Arabidopsis thaliana: one gene and its partners. The protein of the gene in region 4 interacts with the protein of the main gene of each other region in a biochemical or structural test. Each region holds a gene or a part of one and is shown on either strand. Other genes may lie near its edges. The genes, in order: AT5G42440, GAPB, NADP-ME2 and TTL3.

What was found.
Region 1: the proteins of TTL3 (region 4) and AT5G42440 form a complex in vitro, tested with the Arabidopsis thaliana proteins (one study listed by BioGRID).
Region 2: the proteins of TTL3 (region 4) and GAPB form a complex in vitro, tested with the Arabidopsis thaliana proteins (one study listed by BioGRID).
Region 3: the proteins of TTL3 (region 4) and NADP-ME2 form a complex in vitro, tested with the Arabidopsis thaliana proteins (one study listed by BioGRID).

What each region holds. Positions count from the first base shown.
Region 1 is NC_003076.8:16,972,667-16,976,558, reverse strand, and holds AT5G42440 (Protein kinase superfamily protein), read left to right. Parts: upstream 1-1,681; 5' UTR 1,682-2,045; coding exon 2,046-3,125; 3' UTR 3,126-3,357; downstream 3,358-3,892.
Region 2 is NC_003070.9:16,125,665-16,130,401, reverse strand, and holds GAPB (glyceraldehyde-3-phosphate dehydrogenase B subunit), read right to left. Parts: upstream 3,050-4,737; 5' UTR 2,851-3,049; coding exon 2,749-2,850; intron 2,659-2,748; coding exon 2,563-2,658; intron 2,484-2,562; coding exon 2,319-2,483; intron 2,250-2,318; coding exon 2,082-2,249; intron 1,991-2,081; coding exon 1,830-1,990; intron 1,746-1,829; coding exon 1,684-1,745; intron 1,608-1,683; coding exon 1,558-1,607; intron 1,456-1,557; coding exon 1,049-1,455; intron 951-1,048; coding exon 818-950; 3' UTR 507-817; downstream 1-506. Other genes in the region: AT1G42960 (inner membrane localized protein), read right to left, coding at 3,322-3,456, 3,545-3,631, 3,785-3,881, 4,055-4,175, 4,473-4,539. UniProt on the Arabidopsis thaliana protein: Involved in the photosynthetic reductive pentose phosphate pathway (Calvin-Benson cycle). Catalyzes the reduction of 1,3-diphosphoglycerate by NADPH.
Region 3 is NC_003076.8:3,752,545-3,758,861, reverse strand, and holds NADP-ME2 (NADP-malic enzyme 2), read right to left. Parts: upstream 4,772-6,317; 5' UTR 4,407-4,771; coding exon 4,264-4,406; intron 4,056-4,263; coding exon 3,935-4,055; intron 3,839-3,934; coding exon 3,764-3,838; intron 3,650-3,763; coding exon 3,498-3,649; intron 3,423-3,497; coding exon 3,317-3,422; intron 3,221-3,316; coding exon 3,155-3,220; intron 3,056-3,154; coding exon 2,960-3,055; intron 2,866-2,959; coding exon 2,794-2,865; intron 2,701-2,793; coding exon 2,617-2,700; intron 2,517-2,616; coding exon 2,418-2,516; intron 2,329-2,417; coding exon 2,281-2,328; intron 2,195-2,280; coding exon 2,141-2,194; intron 2,046-2,140; coding exon 1,947-2,045; intron 1,863-1,946; coding exon 1,773-1,862; intron 1,686-1,772; coding exon 1,608-1,685; intron 1,483-1,607; coding exon 1,408-1,482; intron 1,313-1,407; coding exon 1,222-1,312; intron 1,129-1,221; coding exon 1,000-1,128; intron 911-999; coding exon 822-910; 3' UTR 520-821; and 1 more.
Region 4 is NC_003071.7:17,726,818-17,732,387, reverse strand, and holds TTL3 (tetratricopetide-repeat thioredoxin-like 3), read right to left. Parts: upstream 3,910-5,570; 5' UTR 3,534-3,909; coding exon 2,635-3,533; intron 2,548-2,634; coding exon 2,352-2,547; intron 2,272-2,351; coding exon 2,087-2,271; intron 1,999-2,086; coding exon 1,665-1,998; intron 1,584-1,664; coding exon 1,382-1,583; intron 1,299-1,381; coding exon 1,192-1,298; intron 1,080-1,191; coding exon 927-1,079; 3' UTR 552-926; downstream 1-551. Other genes in the region: GRF9 (general regulatory factor 9), read left to right, coding at 121-224. UniProt on the Arabidopsis thaliana protein: Involved in osmotic and salt stress tolerance. May play a role in the control of meristematic cell size during osmotic stress. May function as an adapter protein for BRL2 and may be required for signaling affecting leaf vascular tissue pattern formation.

The DNA of each region.
Region 1 (3,892 bases), on a different chromosome or scaffold from region 4:
AAGTGACCATGTCCCCCCTTCGATGAGGTATCGACGAACTTGAGATTAATCACCTCCATCGCAAGACGAGAAGTCTGCCTTAGCAGTGACTGACGAAGAGTCACAACTCTCTTCTTTGGACCCATGCAGCAACCCTTAATCATCAAGTAGTCATCCTTCACTATACCGTAATGTGCGAATCCTCCCATTGGAGTTATTTCCTTCTCAGTCCTAAGTTTGAAAAAAAGACATACCCTTTCCTCTGTGACGATTAGCTCTCTTCCTTGGTAAGAAACCAAGAGAACCATGTCTTGGATGCTCAAACTTCCTGTGAGACATTCTTCTTCTCCTCCTAATTCGTTTCAATAAACAGTAAATTTGAAATCAAGCTCTAATCAAAATAACTCTGAATCAGTTCTCTATTGATTCGACTAAGATTCTAACTAAGTCTGAATCGTAAAATCTTTGAAAATGGAGGTGGAGGAAGAGAGAAGAAGAAGAACCTGAAACTCCGATGAGCCCTGCGGCGTAAGACTCTGACGAGAAGTGAGGAATAAAAAACCTATTTACGTTCCTTTTATACAAAACCTTAAACACGTTTTTGAACATTTTTAAAATGTGAACCCATTTTCCTTATTGGGCTTCACAAAAGCCCAAATCAATGGAAATTAGGGTAAATAATTGTGCCCTATATAATGTCATCTTCATCTCTCAGCTTCCGTCTTCTATACCATACTCCAAATCTCGTTTTTGTTCAGTTCTTAATTTCAGTCTGCACTTTTTTTTCTTAGGTTTGAAGAGATTGATGAAATCAAATACATCGATCGCTAGTGTCTTGAAGACGCGATGAGCGTCGATTTTCCACACGAGATTTCTGACTCTTGATCTGTTTTTTTCTTTTTCGTCATAAAAAAAAATTGATTTGATTTCTTTGGTGGACATTAGATAGTATCATCCCTTTTATAATAAACAGTGACAAAAAAAGTTGGGGAAAAAAAAAAAATATAGTATCATCCCCAGCATGTTATTTTTAAAAATAAATTTAGTACATAACAAAATGTTTACGGATGTTAAAAATAGTATTTGGATCAAATATTAATCATAATCATGACAAGAAACACTTGAACCCCACAAATTATAAGCATAAACAAAACAACTCAAGATCTTTAAACGAAAACAAACAAAACGAAAATCTGTGACAGTGTATTCTTCTACTTTTTCTTAAACCAATTCAATCGAGTGTTTTAAGACCATTTTGTCTGTCCTATGACGTATGTTCTGTTCTGTTTCGCTTAGTTTTACGGTTTCTTATGGTTTTGAGCTCATATGATTTTGTTCTGAACCCTTGAATTCTCTAATAATGAAAGCAAATTATGTAGATATGAGTTTGTTCTGTCTAATTATCTTAGTAATGATGTTGTCTTAAAGAGTTCGTGTTTGATGCTTTCCTTAGGTGTGTTTGGTCTAGGTAACAAGTAATGAAATGAGTTTGTGTTTGATGCTTTTATTAGATGAGTTTGGTCTAATTATTTTAATGCTTTTACTAGAATCCAAAATATTTATAATTTATCATTTTAAAAGTATGATTTATTTCTCTTAAAGAAATCCATGCATGACTCTACCATTAAATAATAAAAAATATAAGAATTCAACACAAACTCTAAACTTTGAATTGTTCAAATTTATAATTAAAGAAAAAAAATAGAGTCACTTTATCATTGAAAATTGTCTTAGGGGTATAAATTAGTTTAAGCAACTAAACCTTGTAGTTTAATTGTTCCAAAACTATAAGCTAACTAATTTTGATATCAAGTAAAGAAATTCCCACTTCATAGCAGAAATTTTCAAGCATTTTACACATACTTCGTAACCACCAATATCGTCAAGACACGTGTACAACCTGCGTAGACTTTCTCCAGCAACAATCGTTGACTTGTCTTATCTACGACTACGACTCAATCAAAACCTTACACTTCCTCCTCCGTCACTATCAATGGCGGATCATCTCTTACTCTCTCTTTCTCAATCTCTCTCTCTCAATCTCATACTGATCCCAAACACTATCCATGGATTACCAAATCTCACTAATCCTAGCCACCAGCATAAGCTCCATCTTCCTCTTGCTTATCGTCTTCACCGTCGTTATGATCGTATGTCGCCGTCGTCCTCCAATCCAAAACCATCCTCGCCGGAATCGTAACTTCCCCGACCCCGATCCCGATCTAAACACGGAAACAGTAACCGAAAGCTTCGATCCATCAATCTGTGAAATATCCATGGCGGAACTCACTATAGCAACTAAAAACTTCTCATCGGATCTTATCGTCGGCGACGGAAGTTTCGGTCTCGTTTATCGAGCTCAGCTCTCAAACGGCGTCGTAGTCGCCGTTAAAAAGCTCGATCACGACGCTTTACAAGGATTCCGAGAATTCGCAGCCGAAATGGACACTCTAGGTCGTCTCAATCACCCAAACATAGTTAGGATCCTCGGTTATTGCATCTCGGGATCAGATCGGATTCTTATCTACGAGTTCTTAGAGAAAAGTAGTCTTGACTATTGGTTACACGAGACTGACGAAGAGAACAGTCCATTGACTTGGTCAACGCGCGTGAATATCACGCGCGATGTGGCCAAGGGTTTAGCTTATCTGCATGGTTTACCGAAACCAATTATACATAGAGATATCAAATCGAGTAATGTGCTGTTGGATTCGGATTTCGTGGCGCATATTGCGGATTTCGGATTGGCGCGAAGGATCGATGCGTCGAGGTCGCATGTGTCGACGCAAGTGGCGGGGACGATGGGGTACATGCCACCGGAGTATTGGGAAGGGAATACCGCGGCGACGGTTAAAGCTGATGTTTATAGTTTTGGTGTATTGATGTTGGAATTGGCGACGCGGAGACGGCCGAATTTAACGGTTGTTGTGGATGAGAAGGAAGTTGGGTTGGCTCAATGGGCTGTGATCATGGTGGAGCAAAATCGGTGTTATGAAATGTTGGATTTTGGAGGTGTTTGTGGTAGTGAGAAGGGAGTGGAAGAGTATTTTAGGATTGCTTGTCTTTGTATTAAAGAGTCGACTAGAGAAAGGCCTACTATGGTTCAAGTGGTGGAGTTATTGGAGGAGTTATGTCGATTTATGTAGTCATATTAATCCAATAGGTAAATGTAATTAGTCTTTTTTATCACACAAGTGAAGTTCGTTACATATTGTAATAATTGGGTAAAATATTCGGACCAAAAGAAGTTACAAAATAAGTTTCTATGTTCTGCTTATTTACGTTTTAGTTTTAGAGATTTATGTATTAGGAACTAGAGTGTTTTGTTTTTTGACTTTACGTCTATGTGCTAAACATCGGCTGAGATAATTAACTTTTAGGATCTTCTGTCAATCTTTAAAATTCTATTGATTTTTGAATGATTGCAAAGAAAACAAAACTTGAAGTGATTCTATCAATTTTAGGTTTCATTTAAAATCATTAGAATTGAGGATTTAGAAAAGGTAAAAAGGCATTTGGAACTGTTTAGTGTTTACCATGACAGATGAAGGAGCACACACACGTACTGTTGCAGTAAAGTGAATAAAAGAAGTTATTCTAAACATGAGAGATTCGTGAGCTTTATTTTATCGTGCCATACAAATATACAATCATACTTTAACCATTGTTCTCTGCTATGAGATAAGAGATGCTTCTTTCTTTCTTTCTGCAAGCATTTTATTTAATTTGGACTCCAAAAATAAAATTAAACACCTTGATTAGACTGTTTAAGAAGAATTCAGATTAATTATCAAGACTTGTTTTCAGAAAAGTATAAAATGAATGTTTTCAGGAAAAAAATATAAATGATTTTATTTTTTTTGGTAAAATATATAAATGAATAATGATAAATAAGGAAAGATACTACAATTAA
Region 2 (4,737 bases), on a different chromosome or scaffold from region 4:
AAATCACCACTATAATGATTGATTGATTCACTTCCAGAATGTGTACGACTATTCCTTGCTCTGATAGGTTCAATAACCAGAGAAGCTATTTCTAGCTGAACAAAAGATGGAACTCGAGTCTAATAAAGAAACAAGCTTGAGAAAAAAAGGCTGAGTTGGTTGAAGAGCTGCAATGAAAATGATTGAATTAACAAATTTTGTACAATTTTCTCATTTTTCACCTACATCATTAAAAGTTTTGTAGACTCAATTCAAAAATCAGCCTGCTACCATTTTTTTTGTTGTTTTTTGTTGTTGTTGTTATTGCATAAGTTAAAAATTCAATTGAGAAATCGTCATAAGAGTTTGGTTCTAAATTTTTAATATTTAAAAACTATATGGTATAATACCTTACATTGATTTTAATTTATTCTTTCTTTATTTTTCATTTTTAATATAAAAAAATTACATATGTATTATGAAATTCAAAAAGATCAATTCCAACCATCATACAATAAAGAAATCAAGTTGAAAATATCAAATCTCTTTTCTCTAGATTGAATGTTTCATTATTTTGTTGCACACTCATGCATCTTTATTTGTAAACCAAATCAAACAATTTCTTTTGTCATACATTGCTCAAATAAATTCCGTTTTAACATGTAGCATAAAATGGTTATTTCTCAAATACAATTCTCTCAGTCTTAACATATAGTTGTTCATCAGACAAGAAAATCTTATGAGAAAAACAAGTATGCATAGTACGATTTCGAATAAGTAACTCATGATACAAAGTATTGTTTTGGTGAAAAATAAAGAAAGAAATGATCAAAGTTGTTCAGTCATAGACTTTGCATTCCTCATCAGCCGGGTTTGTCTTGCAGAAATCCTCCAAAGGATCTCCACTTCCAACAGCTTCCGCTCCCGGCCACTTGCTAGCCACTAGGTGAGCCAAATCCACCACTCTTTGGCTAAAACACGAACACGCAAACGCAAACACAAAACATAAACAAACAATCATAGGTTAAAACATAAAATGATATCATGTAATGTGTTATATCTCTCTCACCTGTAACCCCACTCGTTATCATACCAAGCAACCACCTTGACCATATCATCACCCATAACCATAGTGAGGGACGAGTCAATGGTGGTAGAGACATCAGAGCACCTGAAGTCAACAGAGACAAGAGGCGCATCGCAAACGTCTAAAATGCCTTTCATCGGTCCATTAGCGGCTTTTCTAAAGGCCTCGTTCACATCCTCTGCTGTCAAACCTTTCTTCTCAACGTTTATAACAAGGTCAACCACTGAGACGTTTGGTGTTGGCACACGGAGTGCAATGCCGTTAAGTTTACCCTTCAGCTGCGGCAACACTAATGACACCGCCTTGGCTGCTCCTGTGCTGGTAGGCACTATGTTCAGTGCTGCGGCTCTTGCACGCCTTAGGTCCCTGTGTGATGCATCTAGAAGCCTCTGAAACAATTCATTTCAAACATATTTATTTTTTTGACAATACAAGCAAGCTCTTCCGTTAGGTTTCTACATGGATAGATAGACAAAAAGATGGAATCTTACTTGGTCTCCGGTGTAGGAGTGTGTGGTTGTCATTGTCCCCTTGACAATTCCTGTGATTCAGTTCATGTATGAGCTATAAAAAAAACATTTTGAAACATGTAGTGAAGCAGAGAAAATAAAATGTACCAAATTCTTCATCCAAGACTTTAGCAAAAGGTGCCAAACAGTTGGTGGTGCAAGATGCATTGCTGCAAAGAAAGACCAAAACTGAAGCATGAATACTCAAACTCGTTCATGCTTTAATGAGATCAAAGGTTTAACTTTAAACGGACCTAATAATGTTAGCGACATCGTGACCATAGTCTTGCTCATTGACTCCCATAACATAGGTAGGGATATCAGCACCTTTGGCTGGTGCAGTGATGATAACTTTCGAGGCTCCGGCTTGGATATGCTTCCCTGCTCCTGGCCCATCAACAAACACTCCTGTTCCCTGATGATCATAACCATATACAGTTTTCGATTAACTAAGTTCCGTAGCGCGATTTGCCATCATAATAAGCAGTTTTCGGTAGAAATTTCACCTCGATAACAATGTCAATGCCGAGCTCAGCCCATGGAAGCTTAAGAGGGTCTCTGTTGGAGACAACTTTGATGAGCTTACCATCAACACTAATAGTTTCATTGTCCACAATTTTCACTTCAGCCTTGAAGGTTCCAAGCATGGAGTCATACTTAAGCAAGTGGGATGCCTGCAAATTTCATCAAATGTCAAAAATGTGTTCCACAAGAAGAGTTCACAAAGTTTATTACATACTTACATTCTTGACACCACCACTGTCGTTAAGTACAACAACTTCGAGAGGAGAGTCTTTACGACCATGCCAACACCTAAGAAAGTTCCTACCAATCCTTCCAAAACCGTTAATCGCAACTTTCAGTTTCGCCACTGTCTCTCCTCTAACAGGAGTTGATGTTGTCACAGCCTAATATTTCACAAACTCATCACATATTCACAAATCATGATAACAATACAGTTACTGATTCAATCAATAAATAAGTTACCTTAGGGATGATTTGTGCAGCTACAGCATCGAAGAAAGATGCTTCCCCACCGATACTACTCATACGCAGACCGGAGAATTCAGCGACTTCTAGCCTCTGTGCAAGTAAGTAACAAGAGAAACCAATAAAACAAACTGTACCACACACATAAACAGAGGGTATGTAGTAGTCAGATGGAGTTCATACCTTGGAGGAGCATTGAGCAGGGAAAGAGTGAATGGCACTCTTAGACTGCAGTCGCTGTGTGACCGGGATTCTTGAGACGGCGAGAGCTGCATGTGTGGCCATAGCTGCAAGTGATCACAAGAAGGAAAAATCTAGGAATGCTAGTGATCAGTTTTGAGCGTTAGAATATATACATACATACACACATCCTTTGGTTTTGATCAAAACCAACCAATGGTTCAAAGTGAAGCAAAGTAATATGTGGCTATTATGTAGGTAAGATACATATGGGGATAAGATTCTGTGAGCCAGTGATCACAAGTTTCTCAAGAGACTCATTTTTTTAATCCTTCTTTTCATGTCATATAGTTTTCATCAGGATATTATATAGTCTTCATAACGTCTGGTTTCGCATATAACTGTGATATATCCTTCAACACCGCGATTTCGAGAAAAAAAGAAGAAGGAAGAAAGCAGTCATTTGAAGATAGTAGACGAAAAGTTGTACAACATTACACAGAAAGGAAAACAATTATTGGGATCATAGTAAGTAATCTCCCATGATTCAATTTCAAATCCTAAAAACAGATGATTTCAGGCTGTAGCCTCGATTTCATCGGTGCTTAGAGCTGCACCATTCGGAGTATCTTCTGATTTGAGCTGAGAGGAGACATCGTCGATAGCAGAGTTAAGCTGAGCAATTTTCTCAGCTAGTACCTTACGTGTTTTCTGCATTAACAGTAGACAACATTGTTCATAAGTAAATTCAACAAAAAGTGAGATAAAATATGAATCAAGAGGCTTAGCAATAACTTACCTCCAAAGCTTTTTCCTCGTCATATATGAATTTAGGCAACTTCCTCATGAGATCCTTTCGGTCTGCTCCAGCTATAGCCTTGCTGATCTGATACAATTCACAAAAGTAACATCACACATTGATGAGTCAAAGTGAAACAGAGAAGGTTACAGAGCTCCTCGAGTCCACTCAAGAACTTCTTGATTGAAACGAATACAAGCTCTAAGAGTGATCAAACTAAACCATGTAACAGATTACTACCTGTGGTGCATATACACATCCGAGGGCACCGACTATAAGTCCGCCCAAAATAAACCCTCCGACGAATAGGCCTGTGCTGCCTGAACCATCATCATCTCTGCAAGTTTTGATGCTATTAGACATTGCAAACTGTCTCTGTAAACATAAGTTGCCAATAGAAAACTAAAGTATACTAAAAAATGTTACGATGCTCACAAAACATTAAGGAGTAACAAGAACCACAGTTTTCGACATCTCAAACAATAATTTGTATAAGATAAAGTTATATACCTGTATGCAGATTGAATGGTTAGGATCCTTTTGGTTCTAGGAGCAGAAATATGAAGTTTGTTGGAGTGATTCAGTCCAAATGAAACACTGACACAACGAGCATTTGGATTCAGAGAAAAACCTAGAAGGTAACAAGAACAAACAACAATCAGTGACTTATACATAACAAGTTGAACAGTTTTCTAACAAAACAGCTTCAAGCTCTAATTTTGCATTGTTTTGACAAATCAGCACAAGTAAAAAGAAAGGACCCAACAACATAAAGGAATCAAGATCGTCCAATACACAATTAAATTGGGTTTTGTGAGATGCTAAATTAGAAATCGTAACATGACTGTACGAATCTCATGAGCTCGAAAATGGAGGATATTGAAAATCTATAAAGCACGAAGATTGGAGAGATTGAAGAAGTTATTACCAGATGAAGGATGGAGTTGGTGAGAATTCTTGGGGAGAGAGAGAGAGGTAGAAGAAAGAGACGCCATGGATGGAAGAAACTGTGTCTGAGAGAGATCCTGAGATAGAGCAGTTGGAGCAAGTTCGATGATATCTAAGCAAAGCTTCTTCGATTCAGTGGTAATTATTTATTTAAATATTTATTACAAATATTACATCAAAAAAAAAAAAATGTAATAAATATTGGGAGAAATGAAAATGGATCAATTTGGTCATCTAATCCGGTT
Region 3 (6,317 bases), on a different chromosome or scaffold from region 4:
TCTTAAAACCTTCTAACCATTTTATTCGTCCCTCTACTTATTTCTTTAGTTCGATTTTCGCCCGCAATTTGATTTCGTTACAATTGTCCCCATCTACAGTTACTATTTGGGCCTTATTACATCTCAGATTAAAGGGACCGTTCAGCCCATTTTCAGTTGTTTTAACTTTGGTTTCGGTTTAGGTGTTTATTTATTTTTTTGACATCTTGTTTCGGTTTAGTTTTGGTTTGGATTGTTTGAGCTTTCGATTTTAACCAAAACGTGAAGACGAGTTTTAGAGATTCTTGTTATTGTTTTAGCTATTTATAACAAGTAGTTACCTAAAATGCCAAAATCATTAGCTTAAGATTAGGAGTTTTGTTGTTTTTAGAACATTTTGCTCAGTACAATTTAGAAACCACTTTCAAAAGAGTATTCAGCTATGCTTCTATAGTCCTATTATCTATATGAAACTTTTGATAAACTCTTCAAAATAATGATACAAGTTCTTTAATTCTGCAACAATTATACCATTTTAATAAAACAACCAATAAGATACAACAAGTGGCAGAAAAAAGCATATTATTCCCTTCCAAGACAAGTTGATCGATTTTGTGATGTGGGATGGAAAGTGTAACTTTGAGACAATAATGATTTGTAGATTATATTAGTAACAATTTATTATTTATCAGCAAAGACAGAGAGAGAGTTCACAAACAGCATCATAATGTAGAAGAGAAAACAAACAACAAACAAACAAACAAAAAACTTAAATACAAGCCTTAAGAAACTATCAAGGGTTGTGAATAGTATAATCTGCAGGTTTCTTCAACAAAACTTTTTTAACGGTAGTTTCTGTACACAGGGCTGTACATGCTGCTCTCTGCAAACTTGACAAGATCCTTTGCACGTGGCAGGTTCGACGCCAATCCTACACCACAATACATCGATTTTAGAACTTGAGATTAGAGAGTTCAGACAGTCTCATTAAAAGAGTTAAGACAGTTTCATTCAACTAACCGAGGTCATAGGTTTTGGCGGCGACACAGGCTGCAATGTTAGCAGAGATCTCTCTGATGTTTGAGAATGGCGGGTAGATCAGACCATTGGCGTAATGCTCTTCTGTCACTTGTGCGGCCAATGCTTCAGCTGTTGAAAACATGAGAGAGAGATGACATTGAGAATCTTTAAGTGTCTTTATCAGTATCCATGTTTGATTTTCTGAAGTTTATTTTTACTTACAAGCTGCGAGGAGCATGTCATCACGGACACGAATTGCCCCAGACATGATCAAACCAAGACCCAGACCAGGGAAAATGTAGCAATTGTTTGCCTGAAGTTAAGTAGGATAGTGGAAATATGATGTGAGCTCTAAGATTGTCAGATGTACAAAGTTGAGAGAGAAGAAGTTGTTGAAATAGCACGAACCTGGCCAGGCAAGTAGGTTTTGCCATCGTACACAACAGGATCAAATGGGCTTCCACTTCCAAAGATTGCACGACCCTTTTTTTAAGCACAATATATGATTAGATTCGAGGAGCAGCATGAAAACCAAATTATAATTTTGTTGTATAATCAGGAGTGAGGACATGAATCACATTTAGATGTCATATGAGACAATATTATACCTTGGTCCATGTGTAAGCCTGTTCAGCAGTACACTCAGCTTGAGAAGTAGGGTTTGAGAGAGCAAGAATCAACGGTTTCTATAAGCCAACACCAAGACCAGCATTAGAAAAATAGCATAAATACCTTGTTTTCTGAAAAAGCAGAGAGTAAGAACAAGAAGAAACCTCGTTGTTGGTAGCCATGGCCTCGACAACTTCTTTTGTGAAAGTCTGACCCACACCGGATGTTCCAATGAGAACGGTTGGCTTGATTGCCTGTTTGAAAAAGTTTCAACAAACAGTGAACAAAAAGATTCTCTATTCACTATCAAGCAATTTAAAGATCAGTTCATCACGTACATTAACAGCACCAATGAGGTCCTTCACAGGTTTGTGCTCATGTGCCCATGGCTGCTTGAAGTGCTGAAGAGATTCTTTGCGTGAGCTAACAATCAGTCCCTGCAAAATAATGTTCAAAAGAGAAACATATATGAACAAGAACGGTATAGCTAAAAAAGATGAGACTGATCTTGGTGGTTGGCGCCTAACAATACCTTGGAGTCCACAAGCCAAATCTTCTTCCGGGTCTCAGTGATGGGAGCTCCAGTCTACAAAAAAAAAAACAGATATGATCAATCACATACTCTTAGCCAAAAAACAGATCAAATGCAAGAAAACTCCCAGATTGACTAACCTCTTTCGAAATCTTAAGAGCAATTAGCTCAGCGATACCGGTTCCAGCCTTCAAAGAATCAGCGAGATAAAGTGTAAGCAGCAAAAAATAAATGTAAGAATTATAAGCTTATAGAGTATAATGCTTTCTGGTCTCACCTCTCCGGCACCCAAGAACAGGAAGGTATGGTCAGCCAGTTTTTTACCAAGCACCTTCTGAGCGGCAATAAGCCCAGCAAGCACCACGGATGCAGTACCCTGCAATTACAGAAAACAAAATCAAGTTCTTGGTAAGCACTCTGACATCACAACCAAAAATTTAAGAAAAAAAAGATCAATCTTGAGGAGAAGATGCTACCTGGATATCGTCATTGAAGACAAGATGGCTATCACTGTACTTAGACAAAAGGTCAAACGCATTGTGGTTTGCAAAATCTTCAAACTGAAAAGATGAGTGTATGATATTAATTCCGGACATCTTTTATCGTAGTTCTGACAACAATCATAGTTCTTAAGAGAGTATCCTATGGCTCACCTGAACCAACACTTTCTCTCCATAGTTCTGCTTTACAGCGCACATGAATTCGTGCAGGAATTCAGCATATTCCTGAATCACAAAAGCAAATAGACTTCTCAGTTTTTGAAAAATCATAGTATTTGCTATAAGAAGAGAAAACACTGATAGGAATTGATTAGTAAACCTGGCCAGTTGCTCTTCGCTGTTTAAGACCGATGTAGAATTCATCATTTAGCAACTTCTCATTGTTTGTACCCACATCAATGGTGATTGGAAGACACTGCATTTGAAAGCCGATTTTCATTTAGGATCAAAACAGTTATTGAGTTATCAATCAAGTAGAACCAATTTCTAGAGCAGCTTTTGTTCTAGTGCTTACAGCTGATGGACGGATTCCTCCCAAAGCGGTGTAAAGAGAAAGTTTCCCCACTGGAATTCCCATTCCCTGGAAAATATTGAAATCGTTCAAACAGATGATAGATGTGAACTTTCAACACAAAATGTTTAAGTTTCAAGTGTAACTCAAGAACTTATTTATTACCTGGCAACCAAGATCTCCCAGACCGAGAATCCGCTCACCATCAGTAACAACAATAACTTGGATTCCTCTCTGGGGCCAGTTCTTCAAAACTTCAAGAATCTTGCCCCTAAAGAACATCCATTCACATTAGTTTAAAGAAACAAAATGGAACCGACCTGGTTAAAGAGATTTTAAAACACACTTCTCGTTCAAACTGATGTAGAGACCCTGTGGCTTCCTGAAAATGCTCCCATACTTCTGGCAAGCCTCACCAACTGTTGGTGTGTACACAACTGGAAGCAACTCCTCAACGTTATCAATCAAAAGCTTGTAGAACAACCTCTCGTTCCTTTCCTGCAAGATTCAGATACATAAGCCACCAGTTGTAAGAAAAGAAAAACTAACCAAACAAAGCTTTGGACACATTCTCTACTCTACTAAACATGAATTCGAAGAACAATCACTGACCTGAAGATCCATCAGGGCCATGTAACGCTGCAGAGGAACAGTGTACTGACGGAGATTGTGCATCACCTTCCTCTCCTAATAAAATCACCCACAAAACAGAAGTTAACACAGACAAAACCCAACTCAAAAACTAAACAAAAGTGAGTTCTTTTATATAAAACCTCAAGTTACCTGAACATCCTGACTCAAAATCACAGGGGGAAGAAGACCAGTTAAGTAATGAGCATCTCTTTCTTTATCAGTAAACGCAAGTCCCTTGTTGTATCTCGGATCACGCATCAATGTGTAGCCACTGAACAAAACAAAAACATTTCAATCCACTATAAGCCCCACAGAAAAATCGGAACTTTAACAAGAAGAAACACTAAGTTCATATTTCACAGAAGTTGGTAAGTTTAGAAACTTAAAAAAGCAAACTTTACTTAGCTGAAGCAATTGTGATGGATCACAAAAAGTAAAACAAAAGGGTATGATTGAGATCTAAAGGTGGGTTGACTCACCTAGCGACAGAGGTAACCCAAGGGGTGACAAGCTGGTCCAAGGTGGCGGAATCCTCACCGTAGACGTCAGAAATACCACCGCCGACGCCGGATCTGTTATCGGCGACATCCTCACCGGGTAAATCAGTCGGAGTACTTCCCATATCTCTTCTGAGCTAATACAAACAGAGGAAGCAAAGTTTACGGAGTAGTAGATTGATGATGAATAATGAGCAAGAAGATATTTTGTTTATGTGGAATGATGATGAAAGACAGAAGTGGAGGATAGTGGATTTATATAGGCCAGAGGAAAATGAGACCCACAAGTTTGAAATGAAAAGTCTGAAAATTGGAGCTTATTGTCAAACAGTGAAGAAGAACGTGGACGGAGTCATCCTTCGTCGTAGGTCCCTCTCTTCATCCATTACCTCGTGTAGACAACTTTCACTTTTTCATTATTGGTTATTTTTTCCCACCAAACATATAACAAATTTAATAAAAGTTTAAGAAACATGTAAGCCACTTTCATTTTGAGATTAGATATGTGTAGACTTCTATAAAACTCGGTGCGATATTACATTATGAATTGTTATTTATGTAAATGATTCTTTTCCCCTTTTTTTTATTTTTTTAAATGTACGAATATACGATGATAATAGAAACAAATCATAATAATTGTACAATGTCACAAATCAAAGGGAAAAAAAAAACAAATAATTGTATTTGAGGCTGCGGGAATGTTGTCGGAGGATCAAACTTGGCAGCCATATTGGACCCCCCAACTTGAATTTATATAAGTCAACAAGATTTTTTTTAATACTAATTTAAGAAGAGTGAAATTTTCAAATAAACTATTACAGAGAATAAACCCACCTCAAATAGGTACCGAACTGTCATTTTTAGTGTATGTAATAGTAAAAACCCACCTCAAATAGGTACCAAACTGTCATTATTAGTGTAAGGAATGCTTAAAGTCTATTAGTAATAATTTAATTTAACGATCATGGATAAGGATTGCTGCTAGTGCATGGATTGAATTAATTATTCATTAGTCGTAAGCACATATGTCCGATTTGAAATAAGCATTTTTTTTGTTTTTGTTTTGCAGTGAATTTCAATAGTTTTAAAATAAGAAAGCATTGAGGTTTTCTTGCTCGCCTTTTATTGTCTCCACTTACTTTTCGATTGACCAATATTTGGTTTTCGCTTTTTTTTTATTTTGCAGTCATTCCAATATTTGTCTTGCGTTCATACAAAAAGTAAGCTAAGATGGACCAAGACGCGTTTATAGTTGCTAAAAGCTCATATTTTCTAGAACATATTAGGGAATCCTCGACTCCAACATGTTCATTTTCTTCACCAACTCCTATATTTTTCAAAGTTTACTTTCTATATATGTTTCATTTTTTTGACCCCTTAATCCTCGCTTCTCACTTCTATAAAGTCAAAAGGCTTGCTATATAACATAATATCGTCTATTTCGTATTTTCTCTGTCATAATAAAACGTCACCTTTAGATTAGAAATTTAAAGTGGTATCAGCGTTATCCCCTTTTACCCTATTTGGGTTTAGTAGAAATATTTCTAAAAAGTAAGTAGTTATGCGACATTCTAAGTGGAAAAAGCTTATATCTAATGATATGTTTAATTTTTTGAAATAAGATTAAAAGAAAACAAGTTGAAAAAAACTATGCAAAATATATGGAAAACATAAGCAAGTTATAAGAAAAATAGTTAGAAAATGTACAAGCGCCCGTTTTGTAGAAGCTTAATTTATGAATCTAGAAATTGTAAATCATAAATCTACATATCTAGAACTGTACTTAGACAAAAGGTTCTTGAAGATTTTTGTGTTTAGCTGAGATCCAGTTCAGCTTAGCTCTTATCTGAGATTTTTTTAAATTTCGAGTTTGGTAAAGAAGACACAATTAAATAAAACCTATATTACTAATAATAAATCCATCATCTAGAATCGACCCTAGCTATCAGCCTATCACCAACCAATGAAAGAGTCCCTCATGAGAAATCCTCACATACCGATGCATGACATGTCAGTATGCAGAAACTGAGGAAGAA
Region 4 (5,570 bases):
CATATCCATGGACATTCTTGATGATAGATAGTTGAAATAGCATCTGGAAGACGATTGCCAGTTTTTATCAATATATATTTTCACTTGGACTTCAACTGTTAATTTTGCATTTGTGTGCAGGAGACGATGCTCATAAGACGAATGGTTCTGCCAAACCTGGTGCTGGTGGAGACGATGCAGAGGTAAGTATAAGAGATTCCTTTACTCGGGGTAAATCAAATTAAAATAAGCCGATTTTGATTCAAGATTTCTTTGCTTATGTTGCAGTGATATGATATGTGTGCACCTGGACAATATGTTTCAAGAACTGAATGTGCGGTGAATAATAGTGAAAAGTAGAGTTTCTCTGTTCCCTATATCATGATTGTCTATGTTACTTGTACTCTGGTTTAGCCCTAAATGTCTCTCTGGTTTGAATGTATTGCATGCCTGTCTCAGGACACTCTTATTTGTAATTCACTACTGTCGTCTTACTATCTATCCTTATGGATCCAATCTTGAAACTTATATTCCTTCATTTCTGAATTGCTGAGATAGAAGCTGATTGGATTCGGTACTCTCTGATTCATATTCTGTCACTGATTGAATCAACAACACCAAATACAGTAAACTCTGTTCAGTTTCTTTCACTGGTGTGGTGAATAATCTAGCATACACAAGCCAAGCGTAAATAGATAATGAAGCTTGCATTTCTTGAATCATTGCGAACATTTACCCATACGTAATATGCCAAAGCAAGCAGAGCCAAACTCCAAAAAATAAATAAAGAAGAATTAGAATCGAATAAGAAGAAAGAATGAATAGTTTGTTGAATTTGACAGAAGAGCTCTTTCCCATCTTTCACATAGAATGCTTTCTGAGTCTTTTAAATAGGCTATTCGGATCGAATCATAGGGAAGCAGATAATGATGATAGGGCTTTTTCAATCATAAGAGGAAATGCTTTATAGAGTCCTCTAGAAACTGATGGCTAGGACAAACCATCTCCTTCACTTTATCTCCATTCTTGTACATCTTAAATGTCGGAACTTTCCTGATACTCTCTGCTTTCGCCAACGCCATGCTCTCCTCCACATCCACCTAATAACATTTCATTTTCTCAGTTAACACATTGAGAAACATAGGTTATACATATAAGTTTAGAAGAAAATGTGATATAAAAAGCATATTTGGAATGTGTTCTTGTTCTTACCATAAAGAAATGTACTAATGGATACCGAAGACATAAAGTGTTGATGAATGGAGAAATTTCTTCGCATTGTCGGTTTGATGATGATTTGAAATGAAATACAGAGACACCTGAAGAGAAATGTTTCCAACTTGAGCAAGACACGCAAAATCTCAACCTTTTGAGACAAATTGAAGTTTCTCATTAGACTTACCGGGAAGTGCTACGGATTTCTTGAACTTATCCAAAGTCGAAACCGCTTCAACTTCATTATTGAAACCTAGGCTTTTAGATTCTTGGCTTCTGTTCATTAGCACTGTTTTCGCTCTCTCTAGAGACTCTGCAACTTCACTGTCTCCTGGAAGTTCTCTTCTCAAGAACTCATAATCTTTAACCGCATCCTCCCACCTACCAAGCTATATATTTCAACACACATTGTCATTCGAATACACTGCAAAATTCTGTCAATAACTGATTATAGTAAGTTCTAATCTCACCTTTCCATATGAAGCAGCCCTACGTAGAAGTGCCTTGATGTAACTAGGCTGGCTTTTGAGCGCATGGTTACAATCTTCAACAGATTTCTCCCACAAACCGAGCTTATACCAACACGCTGCTCTGTTGCAGTACAAAACCGAATTGGAGTCATCTTGCTTGAGACCGTCTCCATAAGCTACACACGCTTCCGAGAATCTCCCCGAACTAAATAGCTCATTACCACGAGTACGTGCCCGCACAACCATCTTCACATTGTTTAAAACTGATACAACCTCAGGATTGGTTTGATCAAGCATCGCAGCTCTCTCTGCCTTGACAACCGCATTCTCAAATCTGCAACAAACCTATCATATCTACTCACTCACCGGTGGAGAAACAAAAATCCAAAGAATCACAACATTTCTGAGTTTCGAAAGCTCACCTTCCTAATGCCATATCAACTTGAGCTTGGATACAGAGCACATAAGCTTCAACTACCATACCAAAGAGTTTCACCTGCGGTTGAGAATGGTAATGATGATCCAATCTTGGAATGCAAGATACACAAAAATCCGAATCCTCTATTTGCTTAAGACGCAAAAAGGCTTCTGCTTTACAAGCTACAAGCTGTCCAAACCAATAGAAAAAACCTCACTGTTAGTCAAAAATCTTTACAAGCATATCATACGACAATGATATGTAATCACCTGAGGAGACGAATCAGCGCCGTTTGCAATGGCTGCATCGGTTTCCTTAATCGCGGTTTTCCAATCTCCAATCTTTCGAGCCTCCCAGCATCGTCGGAGATGCTTCTCCAGCGTCTGTAGCCGTTGGAGATCAGCTTGATCCGGACATTGACCAGAAAAACAAATGTGACGTCTTGCATTCTCAGCTTCACCCAATCTAAAGCAACAATTCACTCCATCATTTCAAATTCTCAATCTTTAAACTAAAAACACAGCAACAAAACAAAAAGCCTCTCAAGATTACCTGAGATAGAGAGAAGCAAGTCTTTGGTGAGCTCTGGAGTAAGAAGGATCAATCCTAACAGCTTCAAGACATTCTTTAACGGCTTCTCCTAACCGCCTCAATGCCGTTAAAGCCGCGGCACGGTTGCTTCTGTAAGCTGCATTTCCCGGTGAAATCAAAATTGCTCTGTCATAAAGCGACAGAGCTTCAGAGAAACTCCCTCTCCTATACATATCATTCCCCATTCTCTTCAACTCCTCCGGGTTTTCGCCATTCTCCGCCACTCTCACCGCCTTTCCGCTGGTTCCTCCTCCTCCGCCGCTGCGTACAACGTTTCCATGTCCGTAATTACCAGTTCCTGTGCATAGAGTCTCAGTCCTACTTGAAGTCCGAGACGCCATTCCAGTTTTCAAGATCCGACCCGACGGACAAATATTTCCCGCCGGTAAAACGCCAGTATTGGGAGACACTGCCGACGTAGCACCGCTACCACCTCCTTGTGGCGAGGTGTGACTCGTTGCTGAAGTAAAGCTAGAGCCAGAGAAGATCAAAGGCGTGCCAGTAGAAGAAGATCTTCTATGACCCGGTTTAAGAATCCGGGTCGTGGTCGGCATTCCGGATCCGGGGCTAGAAAGCTCACCGGAATGACTCTTGTAAGCATCATCTAACCGTTTAGCCATCTGAGAACTCACCGACGGTTTACCAGAAGCAGAGCCAGAAGAGCCAGAGCTGCTAGTAGGAGTCGCAGCAGCGGAAGAAGAAGCAGAGCCACGTGGCATTAAGGTAGAAACAGGAGAACCTAGATCGAGTTCTCGAAAATCAGGTTTGTTGACGTCATCATCATTTCTCTGTAAATCACGAAATCGACCAGTGATTGAATCTATAGCAGGTTCCAACGAAAGTCTTCTAGAATGAGACATCGTCGTCACTTCCTCGTGAGCTGAATCTAAAATGAGACTCAGCTTCCTTTTCTTCTTCTCAGAGAAGTCAAGAGACCACCACCGAAGCTTTTAACGCCGGACAGAAACAAGTACTGTCTTCAGAGAGAAGAGAGAGAAAGAAGAGGAAAAAGAAAGACAGATCTCGTGATAAATAGAAAAGGAAGACGCAAAGAATTAAGATGAAGAAAAAAAAAAGGATTAACCTTGATTAATAAAGATTACGGATTTATCTCCCTGAAGATTATGACATTGATCTTCTTCTTCATCTTCTGTTTATCTCTCTTCGCTCCCGTGTCTTCACGGCTACTTGTCGTTGAAGAAAATAATACGGTGATTTATCGAATTTATTATTAATTAATAAACTCTATAGTCTAAAATAGTTGACTTTTTAATTTTGAGCACAGTGTTCGAATATAAACTAATTAGACTTTTTCTAACATTTAATGAATTTAAGTTTTCTTAATAAATTAAAACATTTAACCCCTTACTAACTAACTACATCTTTTTTTTTTGGTGCACACTAACTAAGTACTAAAGTACATCTACTTTCAAATTGTTGCGTTGTGTTACGGAAACGAATTATGATATAGTACATTGTATCTGTTAATTTGTATGAATGTTAATTAGTATTTAAAATTACTAGCTTCTGACGTCAAGGGCACGAAGATTCAAGCACGTTCACTCATGTTCCCAAAATGTTACTCTATCGAAATGTATAACATCATTTATTAATACAGACTATGCAATAGCATAAGCAAGGCAAGCTAGCTATATGTACTAGTATCATATTAGGATTTTTTAAAAGTAAACACTAAACCTTCGTAGGATATTCAATGCGCCACGACATGTTACTATTTTATCATTATTACTAGTATTTTTTTGTTGCAATATGTTTCATTTATCAAACCCACTTTTAGGGTCGTTGTACAGAAGTCTCGCATTAAATTGGCCGACTCAATTTTTATTAAATTGAATAATTGTAATGGTATTTTTTAGACATTAACATTTTAACTAGTGTTTAGTTAGTTGTAAAAAAAAATCTGGACAAATTACTAAGAAATAAGAAGTTATATTCTAGAAAGTAAATCTAATGATTATTTCTACAGATACAATAGATTTTTATTATAAAAAAAAATTAGTTAGAAGTATGTCAACAAATCACAGACTTTTGGAGTTTGGTTAAACTATTTGACCAAGAAAAATGAGAAAAAATGCCACGTAAGGATTTCAACCCTCGTACTCAGAGACAGCAAGATAGAGGGTAAAATCGTCATTCGATGTAAGATGTATTTATCAAGCCAGCCAAACTTTTGTTTAAGCCACCATATATATTGTACTATTATAAGCATATAAAGTAATCTTTTATTGCAATAGCCAATTTAAATGTAAATAACAAATGTGTGTAATGCAACAAAAATAAAGAAAATTACAAATGAAAGTTCAATATCTATTGCAGAGCTGGCATTTTTAAAATCTTCATTTTGGTTTTCGGGTGTCCTTTGAAAAGGCTGTCATAGTTCTCTTTTTTTCTTTTCTGGGGATTACTGTTTAATTCATTCGATATAGAGTAGTTAATTTGCTGAAACTCATAATTAATTACTTTGTATTAACTATTTACTGTTTCTAGTAGATCATGGCCAGTCCGTACCGTTCAGACCTACGGAACCACTAATTACATTGAACCAAGCACCATGCATGCCTTCATTTTATTTTATTTTTCTCTAGCTAGGTCATGCCTCGCACCCTCAAATTATTTTCCATATATAGTCAATTAATTTTCTCTTGACTTTTTCTTAAATAAATTATTTCGCTATATAAAAATATTTAAAACAATAATAGGATAATTAAGAACATAACGATAATAAATAGTAAATACTAATTAAAGAAAAAAAAGGATAAAAAAATAGAAGGGTGTTGCGGTAATTATGGGGATAATTGCAAAACGGTGATCATGCCAGCTGGTTATTGACTTCTCTGCTGTGTCTGCCAGCTAAGCACACAGTTTCCGTTAACGGC